Arabidopsis thaliana: one gene and its partners. The protein of the gene in region 1 purifies or fractionates together with the protein of each later gene. This does not show direct contact. Each region holds a gene or a part of one and is shown on either strand. Other genes may lie near its edges.

Region 1 (7,786 bases):
CAGAGCATGTGGCTGCGCCCAAAGGCCAAAGTTAGTAGAACATGTAAATGCATTAAATTGACAGGTTGGGAGACAAAAAGATTAATATGGAAGATTAAAAAAATCTTTCAAATCCATAAAGTAAACAGTATTTCTCGAGAAATGATGATGTAATAAGTAATATTAATACAAAACTCGAAGCTCGTAAGTTAATTGGTGATTAGTTGCGTTTCTTAAGGAAATTGTTTACTCAGGAAGAAGGTGAGGATGACAAATCAGATGTGTTTTGGGTAGGAGGCAAGAGTAATGATATTTTTATTTGAGTTATACAATAGTCGAGTAGATGTATTAAGTAAAAATTGATCTATGTCAAATTTGTTCTTTGATACATAAGAGATCAAACAATTACAATCTTGTTTAGAGTTTATATATAGTGTCGGTTTTGAAATACACAGTTTTAACTTCTAAGCAAAATAAGAAACAACTAAGACCCATATAATTTTTACAAATCGCGAATTCATATTAAACATTGCAACTTTAAATGGTACTAGCTAGTTCAAAGATTAGAGTTTTTAGTCATTTATTGACGATACTGAACTATAAACACCCTAAAACCTGGAAAATAAATTGTCACTGAAAATTAAATGATCACGAGATTTCGAACAGAAGCAATATTATTCTATCCAAGGCATTATGTATCTCTCTGAGATATTAAGAATGACAGCTGAAGCCAGTGAAAATAAGTTGTTCGTTGGGCCTTTCTTGTAGTTCAGTTATTTCACCTCTTCAATGCTGTTTTGTCTTCATATCAAAACATATTAATATACTATAGACTGTGTAAAAAAAAAAATCATATACTATAGACTATATAGTCTCTCTCTCTTCTCTTGTGATTAATACTCGTAAGTTATAAGTATGAAGCTTCAATTTAAAATGACTTTACATTTCTACTGTGGTACAGCTAAGAGAATAGCATACTTAATGGTTGATCATTTGATCTTGATAGTTTAGTCTTTGATGTGTTGGCAGCAAATGGTATCGGACTAAAACCGAATTTAATCTACAATAATTTGCTATCGATTCAAATTATTTGAAACTATTTTAGTCATTTGTCAAATCATTAGGCTGAAATCGTTTAACAGAAAACAAAAGATTGTGGATCTTATATATACTAAGTACTGAATATACAAAACTATAAATTTTCAAACCAACAAATGTTAGTGGACATTTTCATATAATTATATTTGTCATGGTACATTATATAGCATTATTCGGAGAAAACCACAAACGCTTATAGATATATTTGTTCACATCCTTGGTTTTGTTCGGGCTTAGATTTGCTGAAAGTAAGGGTACATTAACTATTGTATACGATCTTAATCGTCTGAATAAAAATTACTCCATTAACTATAATGTTAGGTTTGGTTCTTATTGGCTGCGAATATTTTATTTTAATTACTTGTCAATATAATGTTTTTTTTTTCTTAACACTTACTTGTCAATATAATGTTTAATTATTATTTTATAGCACAAACTTATTTTTTTAAAGAAAAATTATAAATCATTATAATATTTTGTGATTTTTTTTTTATTTTTTTTGTCGTATTTTGTGATTTATCTTTTACTTTAATAAAGTGAGTTTTTTTATTTATTTTTTGTTGTTGTTGTAATAATTGAATTAAGAAGATGGGCCCGTACATGGCTCAATATACTTGTCGTTGTAGTCCACTATTGGCCTGCAAATCACAAAAATGTATTAAGAAGCCCAATATTTGTGGGTTCGAAGTTTAAACTGAACCGGTATAAGTTGAGAGTTAACGATTTTGAATTTGGTAACTACTAAACCAATATCTAAAAAGGAACTCTCAACTTGTGATGTTATCTTCTAAATTATTTTGTTACCGCTCTATGTTTATCAATCGGGATTCATATAGTTGAATATTAACTAGCTGGACAGGCCCCAAACAAATATGAATGCGGCCTTGTTGACCAGAAGATTTGGTTGCTTATGACGAAAATGACGAAACAACAAGTTAGGAAAGAAATATCGATCACGTTACAAATGTAAACTCCTGATTTATCAAAGGCCCCATTTTTATCACAAAACCAGATCTTTATCCAATTTTGTCACTCACCGAATAATAAAGCTTTCATTTTTCAATCTCATCAGAGAGAAATTAAGCTATGGCGAAGAAGATTGGAGTAACGATGGAAGTTGGGAACGATGGTGTTGCTGTCATCACCATTTCTAACCCTCCTGTTAACTCTTTAGCCAGTCCAAGTATTAAAAAAGCTTAAATGTTTCTCTGTGATTGATTAGATCATGCACGATTTTTTTATCTGGAATTGGTTTGGTTTAAGCTGATTTGATCTTGTTTGGTTGTGTGAATTCTCAGTTATTTCTGGGTTGAAGGAGAAGTTTCGTGACGCCAATCAAAGGAATGATGTTAAGGCCATCGTGTTGATCGGTAAACTTTTGTTTTGAAGGATTGTATTCGATCTTGTAGCTAGCGATTGTGAAATTGTAAATTAATGTATTGAAGGGGTTTGAAAGTTTAATCCTTTTTCTTATCGTTGTTGTTGCTTAAGGAGCTTGAATTTGTTTATCACTTCAGGGAACAATGGAAGATTTTCGGGTGGTTTTGATATCAATGTCTTTCAGCAAGTTCATAAGACTGGTAAAGTTTCTTCTGTTGTTAGTACTTATTTATATAGTGAATCAAATTGGTGTTATGGGTTTTGAGACTCTTGTTTCTTGGCAGGGGATTTATCGCTTATGCCTGAAGTATCTGTTGAGCTTGTGTGTAACCTGATGGAAGGTATTTAGCTTCTTTTTAGTTTCAGATTTTTTGTTCTTTCAGGGTTGATGTATTTCTCAATAAGTTGGACTGCAACTATCACATGTAAGTTGCACTGCAACTATCAAATGATGTGATGCTGATGTTGGTGTTGTTATTCGGTTATCACAGACTCCAGGAAGCCGGTTGTTGCTGCAGTTGAAGGATTAGCTCTTGGTGGTGGTTTGGAACTTGCAATGGTGGGAGTTTTGAGTTTCTTTCCCTTTTGTGCGTTTTAAAGTGTGTTTTGATATTCTTAACTTTTTGTGTTGATTTTTCTGTAACTCGAAATTCTTTAGGCGTGTCATGCCAGAGTTGCTGCTCCGAAAGCTCAATTAGGCTTACCAGAACTGACTCTTGGAGTGATTCCTGGTTTTGGAGGTATGGGTTTGTTTTTTCAGCTACGTCTTCTTTTAAATGAAGGCGATACTTTTTTTGGCTAGGTTTTCTTTATTAATAGATATGTATATAATTGAGCTAATTGTGTCTATGAAGGAACCCAACGTCTTCCAAGGTTAGTAGGCCTTGCAAAAGCAACGGATATGATACTGGTAAGGATGACATTTTCTGCAGTTACCAACAGTTTTATTACCAAGTTTGCGTCAATATGATTTGCTTCGCTGAAAATTGTATTAAACTATATGCTGGTATTTCGGTAGCTTTCTAAGTCAATATCCTCAGAAGAGGGGCACAAACTGGGTCTCATTGATGCCTTGGTGCCACCTGGAGATGTGTTGAGCACATCCAGAAAGTGGGCTCTAGACATTGCAGAGGGACGTAAACCCTTTCTGCAGTCACTGCACAGAACCGACAAAATTGGTTCTTTATCTGAAGCTCGTGCTATATTGAAGAATTCAAGACAGCTAGCCAAGAAGATTGCCCCAAATATGCCTCAGCACCATGCTTGCATTGAGGTGATTGAAGAAGGAATCATCCATGGAGGATACAGTGGGGTTCTCAAGGTATCTTTAGGATTTCGACGTTTACCGTATTTCTTCAATAGCTTTGACATAGATCATTTACTGCTCGTTGGTGCTCATTCGACTTTTTAAATTAGGGAATCATGAGTGCTTCATTTCACAAAATCTGTCCATTCCTTGCATTGATTACTTGCGGTAATTGTCTAGTTGGCTATGTACCTAAACTCTTTGATTCGCAGGAAGCAGAAGTTTTCAAGCAACTAGTACTGTCAGACACTGCAAAGGGTCTTGTTCATGTTTTCTTTGCACAACGTGCAACATCAAAAGTGAGATTGGCATATGTTGTGTTTGTTTCTTCTAGCACTTCTAGTTTTCACTTTCAGTGTTCATCCTGAGCATCTCTTAAAACACTTTTCAGGTGCCTAATGTAACTGACGTTGGATTGAAACCAAGGCCGATAAAAAAAGTTGCAGTTATTGGTGGCGGTCTGATGGGTTCAGGCATCGCTACGGCTCTACTTCTAAGCAATATAAGAGTTGTGCTCAAAGAAATAAACTCAGAATTCCTTATGAAGGGAATAAAATCAGTTGAAGGTTATTATCTTATCCATAACATATCCAGTTGCTATTTTATAGAAGTATCTATCTTGGTCAAATACCAAAAATTTGAACTGTTATCTACGTTGTCAGCCCAAAATCGTTCTTCATAAAAATTGGTTGCATAATAAAAAGGTTCTCTTAGATGAAGTGTTATATAGTAGTTTGCAGCCCTAAGAAATTAGAAAAGTGTACAAACACTTCAGTGAGTTGTTTGAAGCCAAACGAAGTATCCATTGAATATGATGGAATAATAAAATATATGATTATTACTATTCCTGTTACAGTGAGTAGATGCAATAAAGTTCGTTTTTTTTCTTGTGACAGCAAATATGAAAAGCTTGGTATCTAGGGGGAAACTGACACAAGATAAAGCAGGAAAGGCCCTCTCTTTGTTCAAGGGAGTACTTGATTACACAGAATTCAATGATGTGGACATGGTCATAGAGGTCTGCCTTCAATTTTAGTTATCTACTTTGGTGTTATATGTCGTTCTTTTTTGTTTCAACTTTCAAGTATATACAAATCTAGATAATTCGAAGAGAGGGACAACTCGTATTTATGTCTTCTTACTGTAAGGCCTTGCTCCTGGTATCATTTTGCAGGCAGTGATTGAAAACATTCAATTGAAACAAAACATATTCAAAGAAATCGAAAAGGTTTGTTCACCCCACTGCATTTTGGCGAGTAATACATCTACTATCGACCTCGATGTAATTGGTGAAAAGACTAACTCAAAAGATCGCATTGTTGGCGCACATTTCTTCAGGTCATTCTGCGTTTCCAATGCCTCAAAATTTTTATGCTTTTTTCGTATTTTTAGTGTAATATACAAATGGTTTGTCTTTTTATAGTCCGGCCCATCTGATGCCCCTTCTCGAGATTGTTCGTTCAAAGAATACTTCTGCTCAGGTGATTCTGGATCTCATGGCGGTTGGAAAGGCCATAAAGAAAGTTCCCGTGGTGGTTGGAAACTGCATAGGCTTTGCAGTGAATAGGACATTCTTTCCTTATTCACAAGCTGCACATATGTTGGCCAATCTAGGTGTTGACTTGTTCAGAATTGACAGCGTTATTACCTCTTTCGGCTTGCCATTGGGCCCTTTCCAGTAAGTCTCTCCCTCTATATTTTGTTACCTACAGTGTATGTGTGTCCGTATGTGTATGTGTTACTCTCAGTGTTGCTCTATGGCTATCTCAGCAACTGAAGAATTTTTTTTTTTTCGATGACTCACTTCTCAGGCTTGGTGATTTGGCTGGACACGGGATTGGATTAGCAGTTGGGCCGATATATGCCAAGGTCTATGGTGACCGCATGTTCAGATCTCCAATGACAGAGCTTCTTCTTAAGAGCGGGCGAAATGGTATGTCATTGCTCTTACCTTTTGAAATTCCTAATGTGTCCACTTTTAACATTTCTGGCTTCAGGAAAAATCAACGGAAGAGGATACTATATATACGAAAAGGGAAGCAAACCAAAACCTGATCCATCAGTGCTTTCAATTGTTGAGAAATCAAGGAAACTGACCAATATCATGCCTGGTGGGAAGGTAAAAAAAGAGGAGGTCTTATGAAATATATCAGTACTACTATTGGTATTTAAAAAAATGAAATGCACTATTGTCTGTTCTTCTTTTGCAGCCTATATCAGTAACTGATAAAGAAATTGTAGAGATGATCTTATTCCCTGTTGTCAACGAGGCATGCCGCGTCCTAGATGAAGGAGTTGTGATCCGAGCCTCAGACTTGGACATTGCGTCTGTCCTTGGAATGAGTTTTCCTTCTTACCGGTGAGGATTCTAAGTCATAATCCCCATAAAGCAAAAGGGAGCATTTTGTGAAATTCTGGAAATGCATTACCTCTGCTCAAATCTTATGCATATGATTTTTTCACATCTTTGAGTTTCTTCTGGTCATTTACAAACGTTCACAATATCCTCAAAACTTTTTCCTTTCTTTTGTTAGTCACTAAGATTTTTGGTGTATGATCATTTCTTATGTTAAGCAATTTTTTTTACCTGTTGCAGGGGAGGAATTGTTTTCTGGGCAGACACTGTTGGACCAAAGTACATATATGAGAGGCTCAAGAAATTGTCGGAGACTTATGGCAGCTTTTTCAAACCATCGAGGTATCTGGAGGAAAGAGCAATGAATGGAATGCTTTTGGTAAAGTTTCTCAACTTTCTTTTACATTTTATGATGTGGCAAGAAAACACAGTACCAACCAAGTTCTCTTATTAACAAATCGATAAACGATATGAGAATAGAATTTAGGTTGATTCATCTGCTGCAAGGGACCTGCTAACATTAGATTTTGGGTTCAAGTATGGCATGAACTATGTAGAATTGTTTTGTAGTTTGGCTAGTAAAAATGAAGTTTTGAGTAAACAATTTATGATAATAACTAGATCTCTATGATGGAAATGTTTCCAAGCGTATGAATGCAGTACTAGTCAGTGTATAGTCGATTTATTCATGATGAAAATTCTGGTTTTGGCTGCAGAGTGAATCGAAATCGTCGAGGTCCAAATTGTGAAGCGTTTAATTAAGTATATGCAGAAGGAGAGGCTGAAGGTGTTAGTCACTAAATGAAAATAAATCAGTCTCTCTTGTTGTTTCAAAGTTCAAAGTTAAAATGCTATTAAGGTGTGGTTGTTGTTAACACTCTTAAAATAAACAATTTTCTGCTCTTAATAAATGTTTGTAGTGACGTCAGTTTCATAAAGTTATGATTTGTTCTAGCCAGAGAGAAAAATATGAAGAAATTTACATCTTTTTTTTTATAATCAAATTAAGGATTTATTATATATTACTTTCAAATCCTACAGAAGCTGATTGAGAAACATCTCAGATCATAATCCGACACAGTAAACAAGGGTGTTCCACAGCTAAACCATCAACATAAAAAGTGATACTGAACACAAAAAAAAAACTAACAAAAAATTCGTGTAGTAAAGAAACAAAGCTCACCAAAATCTACACCAGCCACAAGGGGCTTTAAAGAGGAGACTTTATAAGAAAAGAAAGAGAAAAGTGAGAAGAAAGCTTAACGACACAATAAAAGCTTGTGTCTATTACTCTCTCTAATCACCTGCCAATGCGTTGAAGCCGCAACAACCGCCACTGAGAAAGAAAAATTACGGTGGGATTACCTGATAATATAGGGCGGTGGTGAGGCAGATTTCAGCGTGCTCTCTCTGGTAAGTTATTTTCTGTCCTAAGTAGAGTATAATAATCTATCTGATTCAGGGGTCTTTCTTCTCTGATAAAGCTGGAGGTTTTTGAAGATGTTGAGTGTTTGTTGCTGTTGCTGGTGCTGCTGATGTTGTGTTCATCAGCTGCATAGGCTGCGGTTTGTTGAGTGTAGGTTGACAATTGGTTCGCGAAGCTCCATTCACAATTGGTACTTGCTGTTGAATCCCATTCTCGGTTTTTACAGTCGCGATTGCAGGTG
Region 2 (4,119 bases), on another chromosome or scaffold:
CATACCCAACTCTTATCCATTTTTGAAACACCAACAAGCTCCAACCCCATATATATGATAATATTTATATATATATATATATATATATATATATATATATATTAGTTAACAGAGATACAAGAACAAAGACACAAAGAGAAATTTCAAAAACAAAAATTCAATACTATCAAAGCTATATTGAATACAAGAACCACATAAACTCAAAGCTACACGTATACTAAGAACCACAGAAATTAACTCAATTCGATACAAGTGAATCACATAAATAGTCAAGTTCCATTGGATACAAGTGAAAAGTCACAGAAATAGTCAACTTCTAATCGATACAAGTCAATAGTCACTGAAAATAGTCAAGTTCTAATCAATACAAGTGAATACAAGCTATCAAAGCTATTTGAAACTCAATTCGATACAAATGAATGCTCACTATCAAAGCTATATGAAACTCAATTCGACACATGAGAATAGTCAAGTTCAAAGCTATATGAAACTCAAAATCGATCTAAGAACCACAGAAATCGATCTAAATAACATACTTGTCAAAGAGAAGCCACTGAAATCTTTGAGAAACGCGGATAGCGAAAGCCCCAAATCGAAACCCCTAAATCTGAGAAACCTGAAAATCAAACCCTAAATGTGATTAAAACCCCAAATCGAAACTCAAACCAGACAATTTCACAATGCAAACCCTAAATCGATTACAAAAGAAACATAACCTTCTCGATTTAGAACCAGATCTGTGACTGAGAAGCTGAAGAGTACCAAAAGAGATTGAGGCGTTGAGCAAGAACACGAACAGAGACGGGAGAGAGACAGACAGCTGAAGAACACGAACACAAACAGAGAGAATTGAAAAAGAGAATTGAAAGAGATGAAGAACAGTGAGATGAAAAACAGTGAGAACACGAACAATGTTTTTTGGCCTTAGAAAAAAATTTCGGGGTTAAAAGTCACCAAATATTTTATTCTCCAACGAGCAAAAAAATTTCATTCCGCGCTACTATATTAGGTAGCGGTTTTTGTAAATTAGTGCTATCGAATAATAACCCCTAATCTAAAAATATTGACCCGAGTCATTTTATTTCCCGGGGTAAGATAGTATAACGTTTTGAAAACCAAACGTTATAACGTTTTAGCTGGTTAGTAAATTATAGCAGAACACGATTAACTGCTACAATATAATATTATAAATGCTCAATATTCTTCTAGTAATTTTAATATTAATAAGGAGGTCTTGTATAAACTGATTGTTTCCTGGAAGTGTTATTGCATCGCCAAAAACAGTTGGCGGAAGTCCAGCCCAGTCATGTATTGGAACATCAATTACTCTGTTCTTGCTGTTAGAATCGTTTGGCTCTTGAGTCTATGACAGTTTCTTTTGTCGGAAATGTTGTGAAAAATAAAAATACTATGACTTACTGGAGTTTCAAAATATAACCAAAAAAAACGAAAATATATTATAAGAAGTCTGAAAAAAGTAGAATTTTGTTTTTAGCAAAACATTAAGACGTGTTAATTGTCAAGAGAAGACCTATGCATATATAATAGTCAAGAAAAGACAAACTATAATAAAAATCTAATGAAACTGTCTTTTTCAAGTGTGTCGGGGAAAAATGATAAATTCGACCACGATTACGGATACCACTAATAATTATGGTCACATGCAGATGCAAATGGATTGGTCAAAAACGTCAACTTTGACTTCGCAGCTCTCAAGTAATCTTTTCCCCACTACTAATAGCTCTCTTCTCTCAATCAACACAACACAATTCACCACCATGAACTCTTCCTTTACTCTCTTCATCTTTACCTTCGTCATCTTCCTCCAATGTCTAAATCCCACCGGAGCTGCCACGTGTCATCCTGATGATGAAGCGGGTCTTCTAGCTTTCAAAGCGGGTATAACCCGAGATCCTTCGGGTATTCTCAGTTCTTGGAAGAAAGGTACCGCTTGTTGTTCTTGGAACGGTGTCACTTGTCTCACCACTGACCGTGTCTCTGCACTCTCTGTCGCTGGACAAGCCGATGTTGCTGGAAGCTTCCTCTCCGGCACTCTCTCGCCGTCGTTGGCTAAACTCAAGCACCTTGATGGGATTTACTTCACCGATCTCAAGAACATCACTGGTTCTTTTCCTCAATTCCTTTTCCAATTACCAAATCTTAAGTACGTATACATTGAGAATAACCGTCTCTCTGGTACTCTTCCGGCTAACATCGGTGCGCTAAGCCAGCTTGAAGCGTTCAGCCTCGAGGGAAACCGGTTCACCGGTCCGATCCCGAGCTCGATATCTAATTTGACTCTGTTAACTCAACTCAAACTCGGCAATAATCTCCTAACCGGAACTATACCGTTAGGGGTCGCTAATCTCAAGCTCATGTCGTATCTCAACCTTGGAGGTAACCGTCTCACTGGAACCATTCCAGATATTTTCAAATCCATGCCAGAGCTCCGATCTTTAACTCTCTCCCGCAACGGATTCTCCGGGAATCTTCCTCCGTCCATTGCATCACTCGCACCGATTCTTAGGTTCCTCGAGTTAGGCCATAACAAACTCTCCGGGACGATTCCAAACTTTTTATCAAACTTCAAGGCGCTCGACACATTGGATCTCTCCAAGAATCGGTTCTCGGGTGTCATACCGAAGAGTTTCGCCAATCTGACCAAGATATTCAATCTTGATCTCTCCCATAATCTTCTAACCGATCCATTCCCTGTCTTGAACGTTAAAGGCATTGAATCTTTGGATCTTTCTTACAACCAGTTTCACTTGAATACGATCCCGAAATGGGTGACTTCGTCGCCGATCATCTTCTCGTTGAAGCTAGCAAAATGCGGGATCAAGATGAGCTTAGACGATTGGAAGCCAGCGCAAACATTCTACTATGATTTCATCGATCTGTCGGAAAACGAGATCACAGGGAGTCCAGCAAGGTTCTTGAACCAAACAGAGTATCTAGTGGAGTTCAAGGCAGCGGGTAACAAACTACGATTCGATATGGGGAAGCTAACGTTTGCAAAGACGCTGACAACTTTAGATATATCAAGGAACTTGGTATTTGGGAAGGTGCCGGCAATGGTGGCTGGACTAAAGACATTGAACGTGAGTCACAACCATCTTTGTGGAAAGCTTCCAGTAACAAAGTTCCCGGCCAGTGCGTTTGTGGGTAATGACTGTCTTTGCGGCTCTCCTCTTTCTCCTTGTAAAGCTTAAGCGGCAAGAAAGCTACAACTGGTAGTTGGATATTTACCGTGACCAATAAAGTTTAGCTCCAAATAAAATTTGTATTAAAAAGATTACAACAAATAAAGTAGTTTTATGTTATGAAGAAGCTTCATTCTAACAATATGTATTAGTGAAAGTACTCAAAGTAGTATTTAAGTTCTCAACTATTATGCATTTTTTATATAGCAGCTAAAATATTACTTTAACATGATAGAAAAATGATTTTAAAAAATAGAAGGAAAAACAGAGTAGTATTCTGATACAACATGCTCCAATTTATGTAACTTTTGCTTATATATTAAACTGATTATGTAGTATGCAACTCTTGGCTAATCTGTTCTCAATTCAGAATAGTCGCAACAAATGATGCAGTAAATAATCTATGTTTACTGGAATTTAACTCGCTCTATACAAAAAAAGAAAGAAAGTTATAGTGATATCTTATTTAGAACTATGCGTAATTTATTATTCTTCAGTGTTCTATAATTGGTTAACAAAAACCTAGTGATGAAAACAAGAGGAGTCCTTACTAGATAGATGCATATAACTTCATCACTACAAAATTTATTTGATCACAAATAACACATACCAAACAACAAACCAAGTAATCGATATATACTAGTATCAAACCTCTTTTTTCTCTTTACATACACATAACACAAGGTCATCCACAGGACATATAGCGTCTGCATTGAGGAATTAGACCATCTCTGAAGTAGGTTTCAACTTAGTATTGTTTTTTTTTTTGTCTAAAACACTAAAGTTCGATTAGACTAATGCATCCATATTCAATGAGACAAAGACATAGTAAACCAACCTAGAAAAATTATTCAAAAACTATACAAAAAAAGATAGTTTGAGTAATTGGTTCTTCCAAAACAAGACTAATGCATGC
Region 3 (6,049 bases), on another chromosome or scaffold:
CAGCGGGTAACAAACTACGATTCGATATGGGGAAGCTAACGTTTGCAAAGACGCTGACAACTTTAGATATATCAAGGAACTTGGTATTTGGGAAGGTGCCGGCAATGGTGGCTGGACTAAAGACATTGAACGTGAGTCACAACCATCTTTGTGGAAAGCTTCCAGTAACAAAGTTCCCGGCCAGTGCGTTTGTGGGTAATGACTGTCTTTGCGGCTCTCCTCTTTCTCCTTGTAAAGCTTAAGCGGCAAGAAAGCTACAACTGGTAGTTGGATATTTACCGTGACCAATAAAGTTTAGCTCCAAATAAAATTTGTATTAAAAAGATTACAACAAATAAAGTAGTTTTATGTTATGAAGAAGCTTCATTCTAACAATATGTATTAGTGAAAGTACTCAAAGTAGTATTTAAGTTCTCAACTATTATGCATTTTTTATATAGCAGCTAAAATATTACTTTAACATGATAGAAAAATGATTTTAAAAAATAGAAGGAAAAACAGAGTAGTATTCTGATACAACATGCTCCAATTTATGTAACTTTTGCTTATATATTAAACTGATTATGTAGTATGCAACTCTTGGCTAATCTGTTCTCAATTCAGAATAGTCGCAACAAATGATGCAGTAAATAATCTATGTTTACTGGAATTTAACTCGCTCTATACAAAAAAAGAAAGAAAGTTATAGTGATATCTTATTTAGAACTATGCGTAATTTATTATTCTTCAGTGTTCTATAATTGGTTAACAAAAACCTAGTGATGAAAACAAGAGGAGTCCTTACTAGATAGATGCATATAACTTCATCACTACAAAATTTATTTGATCACAAATAACACATACCAAACAACAAACCAAGTAATCGATATATACTAGTATCAAACCTCTTTTTTCTCTTTACATACACATAACACAAGGTCATCCACAGGACATATAGCGTCTGCATTGAGGAATTAGACCATCTCTGAAGTAGGTTTCAACTTAGTATTGTTTTTTTTTTTGTCTAAAACACTAAAGTTCGATTAGACTAATGCATCCATATTCAATGAGACAAAGACATAGTAAACCAACCTAGAAAAATTATTCAAAAACTATACAAAAAAAGATAGTTTGAGTAATTGGTTCTTCCAAAACAAGACTAATGCATGCAGCATCTTAAAACTTCACCACCATAAACGAAAATTGAGTAATTGGTTCTTCCAAAACAAGCTAAGATTCCACTATAATTTCTTACGATAAACAAATAGATAAAGCTACTTATGTTAATGTTGGATTACGCTAAGAAAATTAAGGCATGAATCTATCGGCCCATCTCGAGGCCAACTTAGTCCACAATCTGGATCATTGTACTTAGATATATTTGACTTTTATTTTGTGGTCAATAATGTACATATTGTTAGACAAAAATAACATGTTAATAAATATTTTTTTTTTTTCAAAAATAACGTACATTTTGAGAAAACATAAATGAAATTTCTTTCCAAACTAAGTTTCATAATAGCCCAAAATATTATTTAAACATGATAGAAAACAATTGTAATTTGACAACAAAGTTCTAGAAAAATAAGATACATAAATCCTTTATCTATAATCATCAAAATATTATAAAAATCTGATGAAAGAAACTGTCTCTTTCGAGGGGTTGAGAGATAATAAATTCGACAACGATTACGGATATTACCACAACTTATTGCCACCACATGAACATGAATTGGTCAAAATCGGCAGCTCTTGATTCAACGTTTTCCTTCTATTAATAGCGACCAATTGTGTCTTTCAATCAACACAACTCAACCATGAACTCTTGTTGCTTCCCTCTCTTCATCTTTGCATTCGTTATCTTTCTCCGGTGTTTAAGTCCCATTGAAGCTGCCACGTGTCATCCTGATGACGAGGCGGGTCTTTTAGCTTTTAAATCGGGTATAACTCAAGATCCTACGGGTATTCTCAGCTCTTGGAAGAAAGGTACTGACTGCTGTTCATGGAAGGGTGTCGGTTGTCTCACCAACCGCGTCACCGGACTCACTATCAACGGACAATCTGATGTTACTGGAAGCTTTCTTTCTGGCACTATCTCGCCGTCATTGGCCAAACTCCAACACCTTGTTGGTATTTACTTCACCAATCTTCGAAACATCACTGGTTCTTTTCCTCAATTCCTTTTCCAATTACCAAATGTAAAACAAGTCTACTTCACGAATAGCCGTCTCTCCGGTCCTCTTCCAGCTAACATTGGTGCGCTAAGCGAGTTAGGAGAACTAAGTCTCGACGGAAACCTGTTTACTGGTCCGATCCCGAGTTCCATTTCCAATTTAACCCGGTTATATCTGCTCAATCTTGGAGATAATCTCTTAACCGGAACTATACCTTTAGGTCTTGCTAATCTCAAGATCTTGTTGTCACTCAACTTTGGCAACAATCGTCTCTCTGAAACCATACCGGATATTTTCAAATCCATGCAGAAGCTCCAATCTCTAACCCTCTCCCGCAACAAATTCTCTGGAAATCTTCCTCCGTCCATTGCATCACTCAAACCAATTCTCAATTACCTCGATCTAAGCCAGAATAATCTCTCTGGGACAATCCCGACCTTTTTATCAAACTTCAAGGTACTAGACTCATTGGATCTTTCTAGAAATAGGTTCTCTGGGGTTGTTCCGAAGAGTTTAGCCAATATGCCTAAACTTTTCCATCTCAATCTCTCCCACAATTTTCTAACTGGTCCACTCCCTGCCATGAAGAACGTTGATGGCCTTGCCACTCTAGATCTTTCATACAACCAATTTCACCTCAAAACGATACCGAAATGGGTGACCTCGTCGCCGTCCATGTACTCGTTGAAGCTGGTAAAATGCGGGATCAATATGAGCTTAGACAATTGGAAGCCAGTGAGACCCAATATTTACTTTTACATCGATCTGTCAGAAAACGAGATCTCAGGGAGTCTAACATGGTTCTTCAACCTAGCGCATAACCTATATGAGTTTCAAGCGTCAGGGAACAAACTTCGATTCGACATGGGGAAGCTGAATTTAAGTGAGAGACTAGAAAGCCTCGATCTATCAAGGAATTTGATATTTGGGAAGGTACCAATGACCGTGGCTAAACTGCAAAAATTGAACTTGAGTCATAACCATCTTTGTGGAAAGCTTCCAGTGACTAAATTCCCGGCCAGCGCGTTTGTCGGTAATGACTGTCTCTGCGGCTCTCCGCTTTCTCCTTGTAAAATTTAGCGGCAAAAAGGTACAATTTTGTAGTTGAGTACTGTAACACATAGCTCTGAATAAGATTTGTAATAACAAAATTAGCCTACTCGGCTACGCCATACATGGACATGATTTTTATTTTTTTTACTGGAATAGAAAATAACAAAATATTTAAGGGGAAAATCACATTTTAAACCTAACACTGAGCAGCACTTTAAACCTCAAGATATTTTCACTAGCATTATAAACCTCCAAATTAATTAAACTAACACTCTAGATCTCCAAATTAACATTTTTTGTTTGTACAGCCCTAAAAGATAACAGAACAGAACACTAACTAACAGAACATTAACAGAAGTTACAGAATAATGAACTTTTGTCAGTTAAAAGAAAAAGTAAAACATGTTTAGAAAAAATAATATTATGACCACTTACCATAATTTGTGATTTTTTTGTTTAAAAAAAACCTTATAATATTTAAGAAATTTGATAATACAGTACATAGCCATGTAAATATAAATCATGTTGATGTTTTAACAAATTATTGATCGGTTATTCTCAATTTCCAACATTAATTTGATTACTTTGTGGGCAGTCTAATCATTGGTGAGCTAAATATCTAAAATCTAGACAGACAAAATAATATCACATATAAACCAATAGTTTGATACATTCACTCTCGGTACCTACCCTACATCCAAGAAGTAATGAAGATCTTGGGAATAAATGTTCCATTAGAATCATGAAACTGGTGACTTTGTAGACAAGAAAACTAGAGTTATTTGTGTAATAATATGAAATATTAAAACTGTAGACACACTGAGATTTGCCTTATTATTCAAAGCTATAAAAACAAATGGATCTCGATGAACGCTACGGCATTCATAAGAGAGGTAGCATGCATCTTAAATGTCACTACCATAAACTGAAAACTGAACAAATCGATTTTCGAGAACAATCTAAATTTTCACTTTCTTAGTTCTTACAATAGGCAAATAGATAAAGCTACTAATGTTAGATTATGCTAAGAAAATAAAGCATAATGTTTACCTGACCATCTTGAGGCCAACTTATTTTCACTGTCTAGATCATTGCACTTAGATCGTTCTAAATCTAAACAGTCAAATCTTTCACTTCTAATTTAAGGTCAATAACGAACATTTTGTTGGACAGATTAAAATAACGTGTTGAAAAAAGTAAGACGAAAATAACGTACATAACTAGATTATAACCCGCGGTACACCGCGGAGACAATTTGTTTTTAAAATTAGTATATATAAGAGTCTGCAAATTATATTTATCTATAAAATATTTACATTTTATAGTTTACAATTGTTATTAAGTAATATCCTTCCAAACTCGTTCCACCAAACCCGTCCCGTTAAAAAAATCTGCGATACACCGCTAATTTAAATAAATATTTTACGGGATTGCAATTATATTTTAGTTTGTCAAACAAATTTTTTTTTTAAATGGTTGTCGAAATCTAGTTCAAATATTGGAGAAATAAGATTTAGTGAACTGATAGGAAATGTATTTAGGTGCGTTTTGCTCATTTTAAGGGATTGCAATTGTATTTTGGTTTGTCAAATATTTTTTGTTTTAAATAGTTTCCGAAATCTAGTTTAAATTTTGGAGAAATTTGCGTGATATATGGGATTATAATATATTTGGAATATTTTTTGTTTGTTAATCAATTTATTGCCAAAAGAAAACCAATAATTAAAAGGCAATGGCAGGTATTGTAAATAAGTTCGAACTCCAGGATTTATTTCACAAAATGGCTGCAAAAATGTATATATAGATGTTAGAGAAAAATCAAAATGGTTATTTTTCCTAACTAAATTCCATAATAAAAATAAAATTTTATTTAAATTTGATAGAAAGAAATACTAATAAGACAGTGGAAAAAAACTATATGACTTATGAGTTTTAATACAATGTAACAACAAAATTCTAGAAAAAGAAGATATGTTAAACCATTTATATAATAATCTGATGAAAGACACTGTCTCTTTCAAGGGATCCAGAGATGCTAAACTCAACAACGATCACGGATTATACCACCACGTAATGCCACCACATGCATATGACTTGGTCAAAATCGTCAGCGCTAGAGTCGATGACTTTCCTTCTATTAATAGCTACCACGAATGCTTCTCTCAATCAACAAAAACACACCATTAACTTAAGACATCAAGAAGCTCCACTACATGTAACAACGATAATCAATACGTATTATTGTATTAGTGAAAGTAGTATTTCAACCCTCCGACATTGTTTTCCATATACGCGAAATGTTACTACTAAAGTGAACGGCGAGGACTTCGGAAAAGATACTCGTATTTCCGTTTATGTATTTAACTTTTACAAAATTAACAGAAATTATCCAAATTTTCTACTTTTTTTTAAATACCCAAACTTTACAAAATACACATAACAGTTAGTCAAATTAATGAGTATAAGAATTAAATTTACTTACCTGGATTTTCTGATCCCGCGTGACCAGAATTTCTTGAACCGGTCCCTCGATCCAAAAATCCCGTCTGATTTTATCGGATATAATTAGTCAAGTCAGTCCATCGTCTGGATTAAGTCTGGACATAATAAGTGAACCGAAAGAATTGAACTGGAACCGAAGAAAAAAGAACCAAACTGAACTCAGACCAATTGTAAAATATTCAAATAGGTCCAAAATTCTAGAACCGAAAAAGATTATAATCAAACCCGAACCAAACCAAAATATTTTGGATACTCAAAAATATCCAATTATATATCCAAAATATTAGTTATTTTTAGATCGAATAACCAAACATATACAAAATACCAAAATATACTTGGAA

The links. Proteins that work in one complex are often made in the same cells at the same time.
Region 2: the proteins of AIM1 (region 1) and AT1G33590 fractionate together in Arabidopsis thaliana (co-fractionation; one large-scale study listed by BioGRID). This does not show direct contact.
Region 3: the proteins of AIM1 (region 1) and AT1G33600 fractionate together in Arabidopsis thaliana (co-fractionation; one large-scale study listed by BioGRID). This does not show direct contact.

What each region holds. Positions count from the first base shown.
Region 1 is NC_003075.7:14,296,394-14,304,179, reverse strand, and holds AIM1 (Enoyl-CoA hydratase/isomerase family), read left to right. Parts: upstream 1-1,892; 5' UTR 1,893-2,163; coding exon 2,164-2,260; intron 2,261-2,375; coding exon 2,376-2,447; intron 2,448-2,594; coding exon 2,595-2,657; intron 2,658-2,741; coding exon 2,742-2,798; intron 2,799-2,948; coding exon 2,949-3,016; intron 3,017-3,115; coding exon 3,116-3,197; intron 3,198-3,311; coding exon 3,312-3,367; intron 3,368-3,475; coding exon 3,476-3,778; intron 3,779-3,975; coding exon 3,976-4,062; intron 4,063-4,154; coding exon 4,155-4,329; intron 4,330-4,659; coding exon 4,660-4,781; intron 4,782-4,937; coding exon 4,938-5,101; intron 5,102-5,186; coding exon 5,187-5,441; intron 5,442-5,574; coding exon 5,575-5,696; intron 5,697-5,760; coding exon 5,761-5,882; intron 5,883-5,973; coding exon 5,974-6,122; intron 6,123-6,359; coding exon 6,360-6,498; intron 6,499-6,835; coding exon 6,836-6,868; 3' UTR 6,869-7,136; downstream 7,137-7,786. Other genes in the region: AT4G29000 (Tesmin/TSO1-like CXC domain-containing protein), read right to left, coding at 7,578-7,786. UniProt on the Arabidopsis thaliana protein: Involved in peroxisomal fatty acid beta-oxidation. Required for wound-induced jasmonate biosynthesis.
Region 2 is NC_003070.9:12,176,010-12,180,128, forward strand, and holds AT1G33590 (Leucine-rich repeat (LRR) family protein), read left to right. Parts: upstream 1-1,663; 5' UTR 1,664-1,667; coding exon 1,668-3,212; 3' UTR 3,213-3,619; downstream 3,620-4,119.
Region 3 is NC_003070.9:12,178,980-12,185,028, forward strand, and holds AT1G33600 (Leucine-rich repeat (LRR) family protein), read left to right. Parts: upstream 1-1,796; coding exon 1,797-3,233; 3' UTR 3,234-3,243; exon of another isoform or gene 3,244-3,621; intron 3,622-5,220; exon of another isoform or gene 5,221-5,228; 3' UTR 5,229-5,549; downstream 5,550-6,049. Other genes in the region: AT1G33590 (Leucine-rich repeat (LRR) family protein), read left to right, coding at 1-242.